Stegostoma tigrinum: one gene and its partner. Each later gene encodes a partner of the first gene's protein in a complex. Links are inferred from orthologs where the notes say so. Each region holds a gene or a part of one and is shown on either strand. Other genes may lie near its edges. The genes, in order: CCR4-NOT transcription complex subunit 6 and cnot11.

What was found.
Region 2: CCR4-NOT transcription complex subunit 6 (region 1) and cnot11 share a complex: the UniProt entries of both Homo sapiens proteins name them as parts of the CCR4-NOT complex. The link is inferred for Stegostoma tigrinum from reciprocal best matches to the Homo sapiens genes CNOT6 and CNOT11.

What each region holds. Positions count from the first base shown.
Region 1 is NC_081366.1:37,288,141-37,296,263, reverse strand, and holds the start of CCR4-NOT transcription complex subunit 6, read right to left. Parts: upstream 3,197-8,123; 5' UTR 2,686-3,196; intron 2,676-2,685; exon of another isoform or gene 2,282-2,675; intron 1-2,281. UniProt on the Homo sapiens protein: Poly(A) nuclease with 3'-5' RNase activity.
Region 2 is NC_081359.1:60,459,101-60,466,179, reverse strand, and holds the start of cnot11 (CCR4-NOT transcription complex subunit 11), read right to left. Parts: upstream 3,194-7,079; 5' UTR 3,002-3,193; coding exon 2,683-3,001; intron 1-2,682. UniProt on the Homo sapiens protein: Component of the CCR4-NOT complex which is one of the major cellular mRNA deadenylases and is linked to various cellular processes including bulk mRNA degradation, miRNA-mediated repression, translational repression during translational initiation and general transcription regulation.

The DNA of each region.
Region 1 (8,123 bases):
CATGGGACAACAAATGCTGCCCTTGTCATCAATGCCAATATTCCATTAAAAGTAAAAAACACAGCATTTTGAATACTGTCTTAGACGTTATTCCTAAGCTACAGCCATTGGAAGAAAGATATTGACAATATGAAAGCAGATTTAGCCATGAAACAAAATGGAAATTATTCTGGAACAGAAAATTATAGGATAGTTTAAAAACAAACTCGAGGCACCCTGGCCAAAAGTAAAAAGTTAATATCACTGAATTGATGGGAAAGTGTCTACTAGTTCGAGTCACATCTTGCACAAAAGCAAGATGGTAAGGCATGCTGGATGTCAATCATCTCAGTTCCAGTAAGCTGCTGTAAGAGTTCCTCCAGGCCTAATTAACTGCAGCAACTTCGATGCTTCCATTAGAAGGTTAGAACTGGACATGATTGGTGAGTCCAATACTCACCATTTCAAACTCATTCAACACTGAATACATCTGTGTAAATATGTAGCACAATCTGAACAACATTCAGGTTTGTGTTTAAGCAGCAACTAACATTCACTCTACTCAAGTATCAAACAATGACTATGTCTTGTCTATGAATGGTATCACTATTGCTGAATCCTCACTAACATCCTCCTAGTGGTGATCTGTGTCCAGAAACTGAAGTGGACAACCAATCTTAAAATTATGGCTACAAGAGGAAATCCAAGGCTGGGAATTCAAGTTTGTCTACCATCTGTAAAGGCACCAGACAGGATGTTGACAGAACTCTCGATTGCCTGAATGGATAGCACCATTCATGATGCTCAACAGCATTGAGAAGTTATATTTAAAACAATTGTCCATTTAAGCAAGACCTCTTCACAACAAATGTAAAGTGACAGCATCATGTTGTAGAGAATAGGCAACAGCAACTCAAGCCTCCAACAGTACCTTCCCAATCCACTACCCCTAACACCTGGAAGGGCAAGGGCAAGGGCAATGGGTGCATGGGAATGCTGCCGGCTGGAAGTTCCTCTAAGTCAAACAGACATCTGACTTACGACCACAATCACAGCTCCTTCACAAGCATGGAACTAAGTCCTGGAACTCCTTTCCTACGAAAAGTTGTGTGTACTGGCAATAGTCATTTCAGCAGATGGTCAAAAGCACCTTCATGCCACCAACATGCAGAGATGGGTGACAAATGTTGGCCTTACTGGTGATACCCACATGAAAAATGCACAATATTTGTATTCAAAAAAGGATTTAGTCAAACCTAACACTTATTTCCTATACATATGCAGTTGGATTTTTTTCCCCCCCAAGCAATTGCTGCACTGTATTTTCAACCATCAGCTTTCTGTTCAAAGTTGAACAGGACTGTGGAATTAGGTACGTAAAACCAGTCTTAATAAAAGTAGATGAACATTAACTAAAAGAATGAAGATTCTTAAAATACAGGACGCAAGCAGTCAGATCAGACAAACCGATGGCAAGAAATTCCTAATCATTAGGCACAATGAAGGCCGTCAGAAAGACATAGCAAAAAGTGTTTAAGGGTGCATATACAAGAGGGATTTGGAATATGAGAGCTGGCACAAGCGCCATGTCTGTACAGCCAACTTGCTGTTAAATCCTATGATTCCAGTTATAACTTGAAAGCATTTTACCTAAATGCTAAGGCAACACAGAAGAATTAGAAAATAAGTAGTGACGGAAGAGCAGTCCCTACATTTTACATTTCTTCAGGGAAAATACTTCCTATATCCTTAATGCCGAAGTTGTTTTCACCTGTTTCTTTCTCACCGCACCCCCACCCCCAACTCTACAGGGTGCCTTAAAAAGGACATTCAATCGCAGCAGCATCACGTGGAAAAGTTACTGGGGTTTTTGCAATCGACGTTATCGCTAGAATTGCAATTAAAAGCATAATAGTGTTTTGTCCTCGTCATCCACTTTAGCAACGAATTTTATTCCAAGTTCATGTCTATGATCTAAACACGTAGTTTCAAAAACTTCAGCGATTGTTCAGGCCACCCGAAAATAGGTAACGGCAAAAAAGTGGCGGTGAAGTGGATATACCTGAATTGTGATTTCAAAACTAGTACATTTAGGGGAAGTAGTAGTTCAATACTTTGTTTTCCAGATGCTGTACCTATATTCACTTACCAACCGAACTGGTGAAACGTTATAGTATACAAAATGAGTGCGTGTACCCTGTAGTAATTTGTACACTAATTAAGCGCCCCCAAATCACACATCACTAGTATTTACCATTATCATACTGGGGCGCAAAGAACTACGTTCTAAAAATCAACCTACCTTCATCACGGATGTCCCGCCCCTACACTGCATCCATTGGTCGATAAAAACCCGCCGTGCGCCACATTGGTGAACGGTTTGTGTTTGAGTGGCGCGTTCAGTTGTCAATCAAACCACACACGCACACTTCCGCCACAAAGCTAGGTCGCTCCGTCGTTCAAATAAAAGCTCCCCCTACTACTAACGTGTAGGCCTCGCATTGACTACATAAAAGAAGCGACTTAGTTTTCCGTTCAACCGAGACTCAAATGACTTTTAGGGCAAAGAGGTGACTCAAATAAAACGAACGAAGCCGACAAAGTCAAACAAATTAGCTAAGTCTTTTTTTAAAAAAACTTGAGCTGGAAGTTCTAAATTTAAATACTAAAAAACCTCGCAAGGTTCAGAACGTTACAAATAAATACCTTTAATTCCCTGCTTTGCTCAGGTAAAGTGAAACCTTAAACCGTGAGGTTTGAAGTGAGAAAACATTTTTATACCTGCGAACACATAACAAAAGTTCTAGACCTTTCTTCCCTTCGCCTACAAACCCAGCGAACCCGTTCTAAAAGCAAACAATCATCATGGCGCCCGCTTTCCATTATTTCCCGGAGAGTTTTCCCCTCCTTTGCGGCTCGCTGATTGGCTACAGCGTGGACCGTACCACTCGGCCTCGCGTGAAGCAAAACAAACAGAGTCGGAACGAGCGGCTCGCGCCGGAAGGGGTGCGTGTTGCGGCTGTTGAGGACAGCGCGAGCCTTCTGGCCGGAATGTCCCGCTGCGCGCCGATTCCCGTTCAAACTACAGAGACTGCAACGGTGAGGACGGCCGAAGGCCCTAATCATCTCTTTTGACCGAGCAAAATCGATTTGTCCATATTAAGGCGTGCATGTCCGCTGGATAGCTATACGCACTCGGCAGGTCATGTTCTTAAATTTTACAAACTACCTCTGCTTCTCCCCCTCCTTGTGTGGAACTTATTTGTTTTGAAAGCGCCGTCTTGGGCGGGGTGGGGAAATACCCGTAAATTTGATTGGCTTAATTATATCGAGCGTAGGTTTGTCGTTTACCTTGTTTCTTGAGTTTCGTCAAAGGAAGCAATTAGGAGCCGCATGGCAAGTTACTAGCCCAATGGAAGTTCAACAACGGATGAGGGTTAACATGTAATTTTCACTCCGCTTAAAACTATCAATGAGTGCCGACTTTAAAGGAATATTTGATCCGTTTTTATTGCTTGTAACTTGTTAGAGCTAATTTAACATCTTGTAACTCGAATTAGGTCGCACTTCCAGGCATTGCGCTAGATCCCCACCAGCTAACTGGACGTGGAATGATATTGACGGTTCAGTCGTTTCCCTTCAATAGGTTTTCAATTTTACTAATACCTGAACTTCAGCCAAGCATCCACCACCTTCCTAATCCCATGTTTACCCTTTCCATCTTTCACTTTACACGCTGCTTTGTTTATTCTTAATAAGTCCCAGCTTTTCTTATTTGTTACATGCTGCCCCACTCAATTAACACCTTGCCCTCCTTACAACCTGTGCGAGAAATCCTGCTGCCTCTTTCATCAAGTTTATCATTTTCTAACTTCACCATTGACTGTGATCACTACTCCAGCACCATCCTATCTATGTCATTTGTGGACTCCTGTTGCACCTCAACTCTCACTTCCCAGGGACAACAAGGTGTAGAGCTGGATGAACGCAGCATCATCAGATCAGGAAGGTTGACGTTTTGGGCCTAGACCCTTCTTCAGAAATGGAGGAGGGGAAGGGGTTCTGAGATAAATAGGGAGGGCTAGGCAGACAGAAGATGGATAGAGGACAAGATAGGTGGAGAGGAGACAGACAGGTCAAAGAGGCAGCGATGGAGCCAGTAAAGGTGGGTGTAAGTGGGAAGTTAGGGAGGAGATAGATCAGTCCAGGGAGGACGGACAGGTCAAGGGGGCGGGATGAGGTTACTAGGTAGGAAATGGGTGTGTGGCTTGAGGTGGGAGGAGGAGATAGGTGAGAGGAAGAACAGGTTAGGGAGGCGGGGACAAGCTGGGCTGGTTTTGGGATGTGGTAGGGGGAGTGGAGATTGATACCATTGGGCTTCAGGGTTCCCAAGTGGAATATGAGTTGCTGTTCCTGCAACCATTGGGTGGCATCGTTGTGGCACTGCAAGAGGCCCAGGATGGACATGTTGTCTGAGGAATAGGAGGGGGAGTTGAAATGGTTCACAACTGGGAGGTGCAGTTGTTTATTGCGAACCAAGTGTAGTTGTTCTGCAAAGCAGTCCCCAAGCTTGGTTTCCCCATAAAGAGGAGGCCACAATGGGTACAGCGGATGCAGTGTACCACATTAGCAGATGTGCATCTCCTTGATGTGGAAAGTCTTCTTGGGGCCTAGATGGGGGTGAGGGGGGAGGTGTAGGGCAGGTGTAGCACTTCCTGCAGTTTCAGGGAAAAGTGCCAGGTGTGGTGGGGCTGGAGGGGAGTGTGGAGCAGACAGGGGAGTCACAGAGAGAGTGGTCCCTCCGGAAAGCAGCCAAGGGTGGGGAGGGGAAAATATCTTTGGTGGCTGGGTCAGATTGCAGATGGCAGAGGTGTCGGAGGATGCGATAGGGTTAGGGAGGATGATGTTTGGGAACCCTGCAGCCCAATGGTATCAATGTGGATTTCACAAGCTTCAAAATCTCCCCTCCCACTACTGCATCCCAAAACCAGCCCAGCTCATCCCCGCCTCCCTGAACTGTTCTTCCTCTCACTTATCCCCTCCTCCCACCTCAAGCCACAGCACCATTTCCTACCTACTAACTTCATCCTGCTCCCTTGACCTGTCCGTCCTCCCTGGATTGACCTATCTCCTCCTTACCTCCCCACTTACACTCACTTTTACTGGCTCCATCTTTGACTTGTCTCGTCTCCATTTCATCTATCTTCTCCTCTACCCATCTTATATCTGCCTCCCCCTCTCTCCCTATTTATTTCAGAACCCTCTTCCCCTCCCCCATTTCTGATGAAGGGTCTAGGCCTGAAACGTCAGCCTTCCTGATCCTATGATGCTGCTTGGCCTGCAGTGTTCATCCAGCTCTACACCTTGTTATCTCGGATTCTCCAGCATCTGCAGTTCCTATTATCTCTCACTTCCCAGGGACATCCTTTTAGAATGTAAATCCTATTCTCACCGCTTTTAAAATCATAGAGAATTTACTGAAAATGCTCAACTGGTCAAGTGAAACCGATTGAGAGAGAAACCACTAACACTTCAGGTCAACAATATTACTGAATTCCCACTCCATTAGACTGCCTTGAGCAAAGTTGCCCACAAGTTTGTGAAATCTGTGGCCAATCTTCATTGTGTCCTGGAAAATGTTTTGCTCACTTGCAAATTATTCTGCAGTAAAGTTTCTGACATACTGAGCAAAACTGGCATCAGTGGAATCAGGAGAAAACTATCCACTGTTTGGGGTCATCATGGCTGATCTAATTTGGTCTTAACTCAATTTTTCAGCCTGATCCCCACCACCATCCTTAACTTTTACCTCCTTTGATAATAAACAAACTGTGTAACTGAGATTTGAATCTATTCAATTACCTAGCCTCCACTGCTATTTGGGGAAGTTTTCCACTCAGGCCAGGGGTTGAGTGTCCCTGCTAGAACCCAAACTCAATACAGCTTTAGTCTGATCTTGTACAGAACTTATAAAAAGAAGGTGTAAGGTGAAAGTATTTGCTGTTAGTATCAAAACAGCATTTGACCATGCCTGGAATCAAGGGCCTTTAGGAAAACTAATGTCAATGGGAATCAATGGGCGGAACTCCATTGGTTGGAGACATATCAAACACAAACTAAGATGTCATTGTTAAAGGTCAATCAAATAAATCACAGATCAGTCTGTTCTAACCAGTCTGTTCAGAGCTGTTACTACACATCTCTGGAGCAGGTGCGACTTGAACTTGCCTTCTGTCTCAGAGATAGAAACACTACCACTGCATTACAACAGCCATAATTTGTTATTGTTTTAGGCCCAAACACCTTCAGCTTCTTGTATCAATGACCGTCCCATCAACATTAGGTCAGAAGTGACCATAAGATGTAAGAGCAGAATTAGGCCATTCGAACATTGAGTTTGCTCCACCGTTCAATCATGGTTGAAATGATTCTGAAGCCCATCCACCTGCCTTCTCCCCTAATCCTTGACCCCCTTGTGCATCAAGAATCTATCCATCTCTCTCTGTAAGCCATTCAATGATTTGAACTCCACCGCTTTCTGTGGTAAAGAGTTCCACAGATTCACCCACTGGCTGATGAAACTTCTCCTCATATCTATTCTAAAGGGTTGTCCCTTCACTCTGGTGCTGGACCCTCAGATCCTGTTCCCTGCTACTAGTGGAATAATCTCCACATCCACTCTATCCAGGCTTCTCAGTATTTAATGAGATCCTTCTTCATTCCTCAGAGTCCTCAACCACTTTGCACATGACAAGCTTTTCATTCCTGGGATCATCTTGTGGACCTCCTCCCAATGCCAGCAGATCCATCCCGAGCTACGGGTCTGAAAACTGTAAAGTAAAAAGTAAAGAAAAGTAAAGAAATAGCTAAAAGTTCAACAATCTTAAGTGCTTAGCCATGCTGAGCTCGCACTCCATACAAGGGCTCAATCTCCTCCACTTTGGCCATCTCTCCGGGAGATCTTGGGCTGCCTCCTCTCGCCACTACTGCAGATGCCAGGGGACATCTCTTATTGCTGCATTGGACTCATTTTCCTGCTTCAGGCTCAATTTCCAACCGTCAAAACCCTCATCTAGGCTTCCAGCTGCTGCTATGTTCCAAACCTCATGAGCTACGAAGACACTGACTGCTAAAGTCCCTGCTCCGATATCCCAGCCACTGCCATGCTCCAGGCCCAGCAAAGCGACAATTCCATTGCCACCACTGCCTTGACTGAGCTCCCTCCAGAAGTTAAGTTCGATCTTCCCCATGCTCACTGCCACCGCAGATGCCAGGCGACCTGGAATCCCTGCATTCAGGGTCACCACAAATGTTAAAGGACTTCTCTCACCGCCTTGTCGGGCTTGCTGTCCCCGCTATGGCTCAATTTCCCATGCACTAGGCTTGCTTCCCTCCATGCTGCACAAACTTGCTCTCCACAGAAGATAAGTTTGATCAAAGTAAGGAAAGAAACCTGTGGAAGTGGAAAAAATAGTAAAAGCAAGTGGAGCAGATGAGCTTTGGGCAGGAATCCTTACGCTGTGCTGCTACACTGCTGTCATCTTGGTTTTCCTAATTGCCAACTGAATCAGCGGGTTAACCTTAAAAGAGTCCTGTACGAGCACTCCTAGGTCTCTTTGTGCTTCAGATTTCTGAAGTCTTCACCCATTTGGAAAATAGTCTACGCTTCTATTATTCTTATCAAAGTGTGCAACCTCATGCTTTCCCATATTGTATTCTATCCCCCACTTCTTTGCCCACTCTCTCAGTCTGTTCAAGTCCTTCTACAACCTACCTCTCTGTCCACCTATCTTTGTGTCATCTGAAAATATGGCAGCAAATGCGCAGTTTCATCCAGATCGTGAAAATATAACACAAGTGATTGTGGTCCCAACATGGACCCCTGTGGAACTCCGCTAGTCACCTTGCTGACATCCTGTGAAAGAGCCTTTATCCCCAATTCTGACCTTCTGCCAGTTAGCCAATCTTCTAACCATGCCAGTTCCTTGCCCACAACACCATGGGCTGTTATTTAGCAGCCTCCTGTGCAGCACCTTGTCAAGACCTTCTGGAAATCCAAATAGATTATGTCCACTTGCTGTCCTTTGTCTAACTTGTTCATTACCTTCTCAAAGAATTCTAACAGATTCATTAGACACGACCTC
Region 2 (7,079 bases), on another chromosome or scaffold:
TGGTGCAGTCTGGGTGGTGTGGACTTCTATGCTGTAGACTTCTACAACTCTATCAAGTAAACCAAGTGTCTCAATCCCAATTCCTAGAAAACAGCATTATAAATGCTTCTCCAGTCTGGAAAATATTGGCCATTTTTCTGTTTCCTGTCACTCAGCCAATTTTGTATCCATGTTGTTACTGTCCCTTTCATTCCATGAGCTATAACTTTTCTCAAGTTTTTTGTATCTAATGCCTTTTGAAAAGCATGTACATCACATCAAAGCACTATCTGCATGGACCCTCTGCGTTACTGCCCCAAAACAAAACCTCCAGCAAGTTAGTTAAACAGTCTCACCTTTAAAAATTCATGCTAACTTTTCTCAATCAAGCAAAATTTTACCACGTGATAACTAATTCTATCCTGAATAACTGCTTCTAGAAACTTCCTTTGTGAAGTTAAAAAGACTGGTCTATAATTGCTGGGCTCACACTTACAACCCTTACTGCACATGGACATGATGTCTGCAATTTTTCAGTTCCTGAGTCTGGAGAAGATTGAAAGACTATGACCATTGCCCTCCAAGAGCCACTCTCATGTCCTTCAATATGCTTGAATGCAACTCATCTGGTCCCAAGTACCATTTTGAACCTTCTAGTGACTCAATTTTCTTCTCGGTTGTTTCGGTCTGCGCAGCATTACCATCTTGGCAAACATTGAAGCAATGCAAATTAGACAAGCAGCTTGCTCTTGGGATGTTGCTGCTTTTGAACAAGTTGCTAGGTGAGTAAAGCAGGTTAACTTAATAATAAGGGGTAGCAAGGTGTAGAGCTGGATGAGCACAGCACTTCTTTTCTGAAAAAGGGTCTAGGCCCGAAACATCAGCCTTCCTGCTCCTCTGATGCTGCTTGGCCTGCTGTGTTCACCCAGCTCTACACCTTGCTATCTCAGATTCTCCAGCATCTGCAGTTCCCACTATCTCTAACTTAATAATAAGATCCATCTCACATTCTATTGTTTTGCCAGGCTTTTCTAAAGCCATCTGCTTTTTTTCAAAGAATGCAAATTTCAATTTAATACATTTGTCCCCATCATATAAGAACAGGAGTGGCAGACATCCTGTTCATTCTGAGAGCTGGCTCTGATGGAGCTGGATCAGTGACAAAGACTCTTCACATGTAAGTAAAGAGTGACTTAGCGATGGGATACCAGACTCTCTGAAGTTATTTCAGTAGCGACAAATAAAAAGCACACTCCTGAAGTTATCTTTTCTGGCATCATGCCAATATTTGGGAAGCTTGATTCTTGCTGTTGAAGACTAGGCACAGTATTAGAAAGCATGCATAATTTTTTCTGGGCAAATGACATTAGTGTGGATGAAAACCAACATGTGCATCCCAGGGCCAGTCCGGCTTGTCCCTGCCTCCCTGTTCTTCCGCTCGCCCATCCCCTCCTCCCACCTCAGGGCACGCCTCAATTTCCTACCTACTAACCAGCAGCAGTTGTGGATGCAAGGTCATTGGGGACATTTAAGAGTCTGCTGGACATGCATATGGTCACAGAAATTTGAGGGTGCATACATGAGGATCAATGGTCGGCACAACATTGTGGGCTGAAGGGCCTGTTCTGTGCTGTACTGTTCTATGTTCTATATAGTTTACTACTAGATTTATATAAGTAACATGAGTAAGAGGACCCAAACAAGAGTTAGCATTTATGTTCGACAGCTATTTACATTCCAGCACATACTGAATTGACGACTCCAATGAATGCACAAAGCTAATCAATTAACTTCTGTGATAGGTCTACCATTAAGGTTAAGATCAGGATCTGTACATTTTTAAAGCTCACCTGCTTTCTACAATTTTTATCCCGGTAATAAAGCAGAATTTAAATGAAAACAGTTAGCTGGCCACTGTCATAACAATCATTTGGTTCCACCACAATGGGAAATTTTGAGGATGTTAAAACAAAAAGCTCACATTCCTCGTCCTTTCAACTACTGAAACTGAACTCTGAAACAGATGAAGCAGAATTTGAGCTGACTTCAAAAGAGCAAAGGTTCTAACAAGCTGCCTCTAAATTCCCTGGTGTGCGTTTTCATCTTATTTTACTGAGGTAGTGATCTGCTCCAGAGAAGTTACTTTAAAGGCCACCTGCATGAGTAGAACACCCCATTCAATCCATAAGACATAGGAACAGAAGTAAGGCCATTTGGCCCATCGAGTCCACTCCGCCATTTAAATCATGGCTGATGGGCATTTCAACTCCACTTCCCTGCGCTCTCCCCGTAGCCCTTGATTCCTTGTGAGATCAAGGATTTATCAATCTCTGCCTTGAAGGCATCTAACGTCCCGGCCTCCACTGCACTCCATGGCAATGAATTCCACAAGCCCACTATCTGGCTGAAGAAATGTCTCCTCATTTCCGTTCTAAATTTACCCCTTCTAATTCTAATCCCGCAAAGCCTTCGAAACGTTTCACCTACAGAACTCACTCTGAAGGTAAACTGAGTATTGCTGTGTGGAGACTGGAATTCTAACAATGTGTTCATATCCAACAGCTTCAAGATTCACACCAATCTGTTGCTCCGTGGTATGGAAAGATAGAAAAATCCTGGCTACTCATGTTTTCGGTCCACCGTGAGGCTGAGAGTCACCGACTGGGGAAAGGGGAATGGTAACGTCTCCCAGCCCAGGCTTACCCAGCAGCTGCTTCTCCTGCTCCTCGGCAACCGGGGCGGCGTTAAGGAGGTGGGCGAAGACGGCGGCGAAGGGGTTGGCGGCCAGCGGCTCAGTACGGTACATCTCCCACAGCAGGTAGAGGGCGGTGAGCCGTTGCTGGGGGCTCGGCAGCAAGTCGGCTTGTTGCAGCAACATGACGAGCGTGGAGCCGACTCGGAAGTGGTCGTGCTTGGCGAAGTAGTGGTGGAAGGCGGTGGACAGGCCCTCGAAGGTGTTACTGGTCGCTTCCTCACAGATGATGCCGATCAGGCTGCTCAGCTCCTTGGGAGCCAGAGTCATGGTGCCCCGGGGGCCCGTGAGCCCGGAGGCCGGCTCCACCACCAGAAACGTCCCCTTGCGTGGGGAGAAACAAACAAAAAAAAACACCACAGCGCACCTCCCTCTTCCCTCCGAGCGGAGCTACACCCCGAGCCACACTGCGCGACAGCCCTGCCGCAGGCCGCCGAAAACTGCCGCAAAACCAAACAAAAAATTTGGCGCCCCCGTTTCACAGCACTGTCGCAAAACCTGGCCTTAAGGGCCGGGGTTAAGTTTCAGCCGCAAAATGGAAAGAGATTGTCTTCGGGAATGTGTTTCCTTTATTCTTTATTCATTCATGGGAGGAAAGTGACACTGGCTAGGCAGTATTTATTGCCCATCCCTAGTTGCCCTGCGTGGAAATGTGGAGAGAGACTGGATTAGAGTCATAGAGTTGTACAAGCAGAGAAACAGACCCTTCTGACCAACACATCTATGCAGAACAGCTATCCTAAATTAATCTAGTCCCATTTGGCCCATATCTCTCTAAACCTTTACTGTACATATATCCAGCTAGATGCCTTTTAAATGTGGTAATTGTACTTGACTCCACCACTTCCTCTGGCAACTCCATTCCATACATGCAGCACCCTCTGTGTGAAAAAGTTGCCCATTAGGTCCCTTTTAAATCTTTCCCCTCTCATTATAAACCTGTGCCCTCTTGTTTTGGACTCCCCGACTCTGGGGAAAACACTGATCGCCCTAGCGATGCCCGTCATGATTTCATAAGCCTCTGAGGCACCTTGCAGCCTTTCACACCCCAAGGAAAATAGCCCCAGCCTATTCAGCCTCTCCCAACAGCTCAAATCCTCCAATCCTGGTAACATCCTTGTGTAATCTTTTCTGAACCTTTTCAAGTTTCACGACAACCTTCCTATAGCAAGGAGACCAGAATTGAACGCAGCATTCCAGAAGTGGCCTAATCAATGTCCTGCATAGTCGCAATATGATCTCCCAACTCCTATACTCAATGTAATAAAATGTGAGGCTGGATGAACACAGCAGGCCCAGCAGCATCTCAGGAGCACAAAAGCTGACGTTTCGGACCTAGACCCTTCATCAGACTGGGGGTTGTGGTGAGGGTTCTGGAATAAATAGGGAGAGGGGGGAGGCGGACGAAGATGGAGAGAAAAGAAGATAGGTGGAGAGGAGGGTATAGGTGGAGGGTAGGGAGGGGATAGGTCAGTCCAGGGAAGATGGATAGGTCAAGGAGGTGGGATGAGGTTAGTAGGTAGGAGATGGAAGTGCGTCTTGGGGTGGGAGGAAGGGATGGGTGAGAGGAAAAACAGGTTAGGGAGGCAGAGACAGGTTGGACTGGTTTTGGGATGCAGTGTGTGGAGGGGAAGAGCTGGGCTGGTTGTGTGGTGCAGTGGGGGGAGGGGACGAACAGGGCTGGTTTTGGGATGCGGTGGGGGAAGGGGAGATTTTGAAGCTGGTGAAGTCCACATTGATACCATTGGGCTGCAGGATTCCCAAGCGGAATATGAGTTGCTGTTCCTGCAACCTTCGGGTGGCATCATTGTGGCACTGCAGGAGGCCCATGATGGACATGTCATCTAGAGAATGGGAGGGGGAGTGGAAATGGTTTGCGACTGGGAGGTGCGGTTGTTTATTGCGAACCGAGCGGAGATGTTCTGCAAAGCGGTCCCCAAGCCTCCGCTTGGTTTCCCCAATGTAGTGGAAGCCACACCGGGTACAGTGGATGCAGTATACCACATTGGCAGATGTGCAGGTGAACCTCTGCTTAATGTGGAAAGTCATCTTGGGGCCTGGGATGGAGGTGTGGGGGCAAGTGTAGCATTTCCTGCGGTTGCAGGGGAAGGTGCCAGGTGTGGTGGGTTTGGAGGGCAGTGTGGAGCGAACAAGGGAGTCACGGACACAGTGGTCTCTCCGGAAAGCAGACAGGGGTGGGGATGGAAAAATGTCTTGGGTGGTGGGGTCAGATTGTAGATGGCGGAAGTGTCGGAGGATGATGCGTTGTATCCGGAGGTTGGTGGGGTGGTGTGTGAGAACGAGGGGGATCCTCTTTGGGCGGTTGTGGTGGGGGCGGGGTGCGAGGGATGTGTTGCGGGAAATGCGGGAGACACGGTCAAGGGCGTTCTCAAACACTGTGGGGGGAAAGTTGCGGTCCTTGAAGAACTTGGACATCTGGGATGTGCGGGAGTGGAATACACCTCCTCCCACCCACCCTCCTGCAAAAATTCCATCCCCTATTCTCAATTCCACCGCCTCTGCCGCATCTGCTCCCACGATGAGGCATTCCACTCCCGCACATCCCAGATGTCCAAGTTCTTCAAGGACCGCAACTTTCCCCCCATAGTGGTCGAGAACGCCCTTGACCGTGTCTCCCGCATTTCCCACAACACATCCCTCACACCCCGCCCCCACCACAACCGCCCAAAGAGGATCCCCCTCGTTCTCACACACCACCCCACCAACCTCCGGATACAACGCATCATCCTCCGACACTTCCGCCATCTACAATATGACTCCACCACCCAAGACATTTTTCCATCCCCACCCCTGTCTGCTTTCTGGAGAGACCACTCACTCCCTTGTTTGCTCCACACTGCCCTCCAAACCCACCACACCCGGCACCTTCCCCTGCAACCGCAGGAAATGCTACACTTGCCCCCACACCTCCTCCCTCACCCCTATCCCAGGCCCCAAGATGACTTTCCATATTAAGCAGAGGTTCACCTGCACATCTGCCAATGTGGTATACTGCATCCACTGTACCCGGTGTGGCTTCCTCTACATTGGGGAAACCAAGCGGAGGCTTGGGGACCGCTTTGCAGAACACCTCCGCTCGGTTCGCAATAAACAACTGCACCTCCCAGTCGCAAACCATTTCCACTCTCCCTCCCATTCTTTGGATGACATGTCCATCATGGGCCTCCTGCAGTGCCCCAATGATGCCACCCGAAGGTTGCAGGAACAGCAACTCATATTCCACTTGGGAACTCTGCAGCCCAATGGTATCAACGTGGACTTCACCAGCTTCAAAATCTCCCCTTCCCCCACCGCATCCCAAAACCAGCCCAGCTCTTCCCCTCCACCCACTGCATCCCAAAACCAGTCCAACCTGTCTCTGCCTCCCTAACCTGTTCTTCCTCTCACCCATCCCTTCCTCCCACCCCAAGCCGCACCTCCATCTCCTACCTACTAACCTCATCCCACCTCCTTGACCTGTCCGTCTTCCCTGGACTGACCTATCCCCTCCCTACCTCCCCACCTATACGCTCCTCTCCACCTATCTTCTTTTCTCTCCATCTTCGGTCCGCCTCCCCCTCTCTCCCTATTTATTCCAGAACCCTCACCCCAACCCCCTCTCTGATGAAGGGTCTAGGCCCGAAACGTCAGCTTTTGTGCTCCTGAGATGCTGTTGGGCCTGCTGTGTTCATCCAGCCTCACATTTTATTATCTTGGATTCTCCAGCATCTGCAGTTCCCATTATCACTCCTATACTCAATGTACAGGCCACTAATGACAAGCGTACCAAATACCTTCACTAACCTGTCTACTTAGAACTCCATTTTCAAGGAATTATGTAGCTGCACTCCAAGGTCTCTTTGTTTAGCAACACTGCCCAGGACCTTACCGTTTACTTTTCCATAATGCAGCACCTTACGTTTATCTAAATTAAATGCCATCCGCCACTCCTCAGCCCATTGGCCCATCTGATCAAGGTCCCATTGTACTCTGAGGTAAACGTTTCACTGTCGACTACACAGCCAATTTTGGTGTCATCTGCAAACTTAGTAACTATATTTCCTATATTCACACCAAATCATATATATAAATGACAAAAAACAGTGAATCCAGCATTGATCCTTATGGCACACCGATAGTCATAGGCCTCCAGCCTGAAAGCAATCCTCTGTCACTACCCTCTGTCTCTCGCCTTTGAGCCAGTTCTGTATCCAAATGGCTACTTCTCCCTGTATTCCATGTGACCAATCTACCATGCAGAATCATATTGAACCCCTTACTGAAGTTCATACAGATCATGTCCTTTGCCTTTATTAAGCCTCTTTATTACTGGTCCGATAAACTCAAT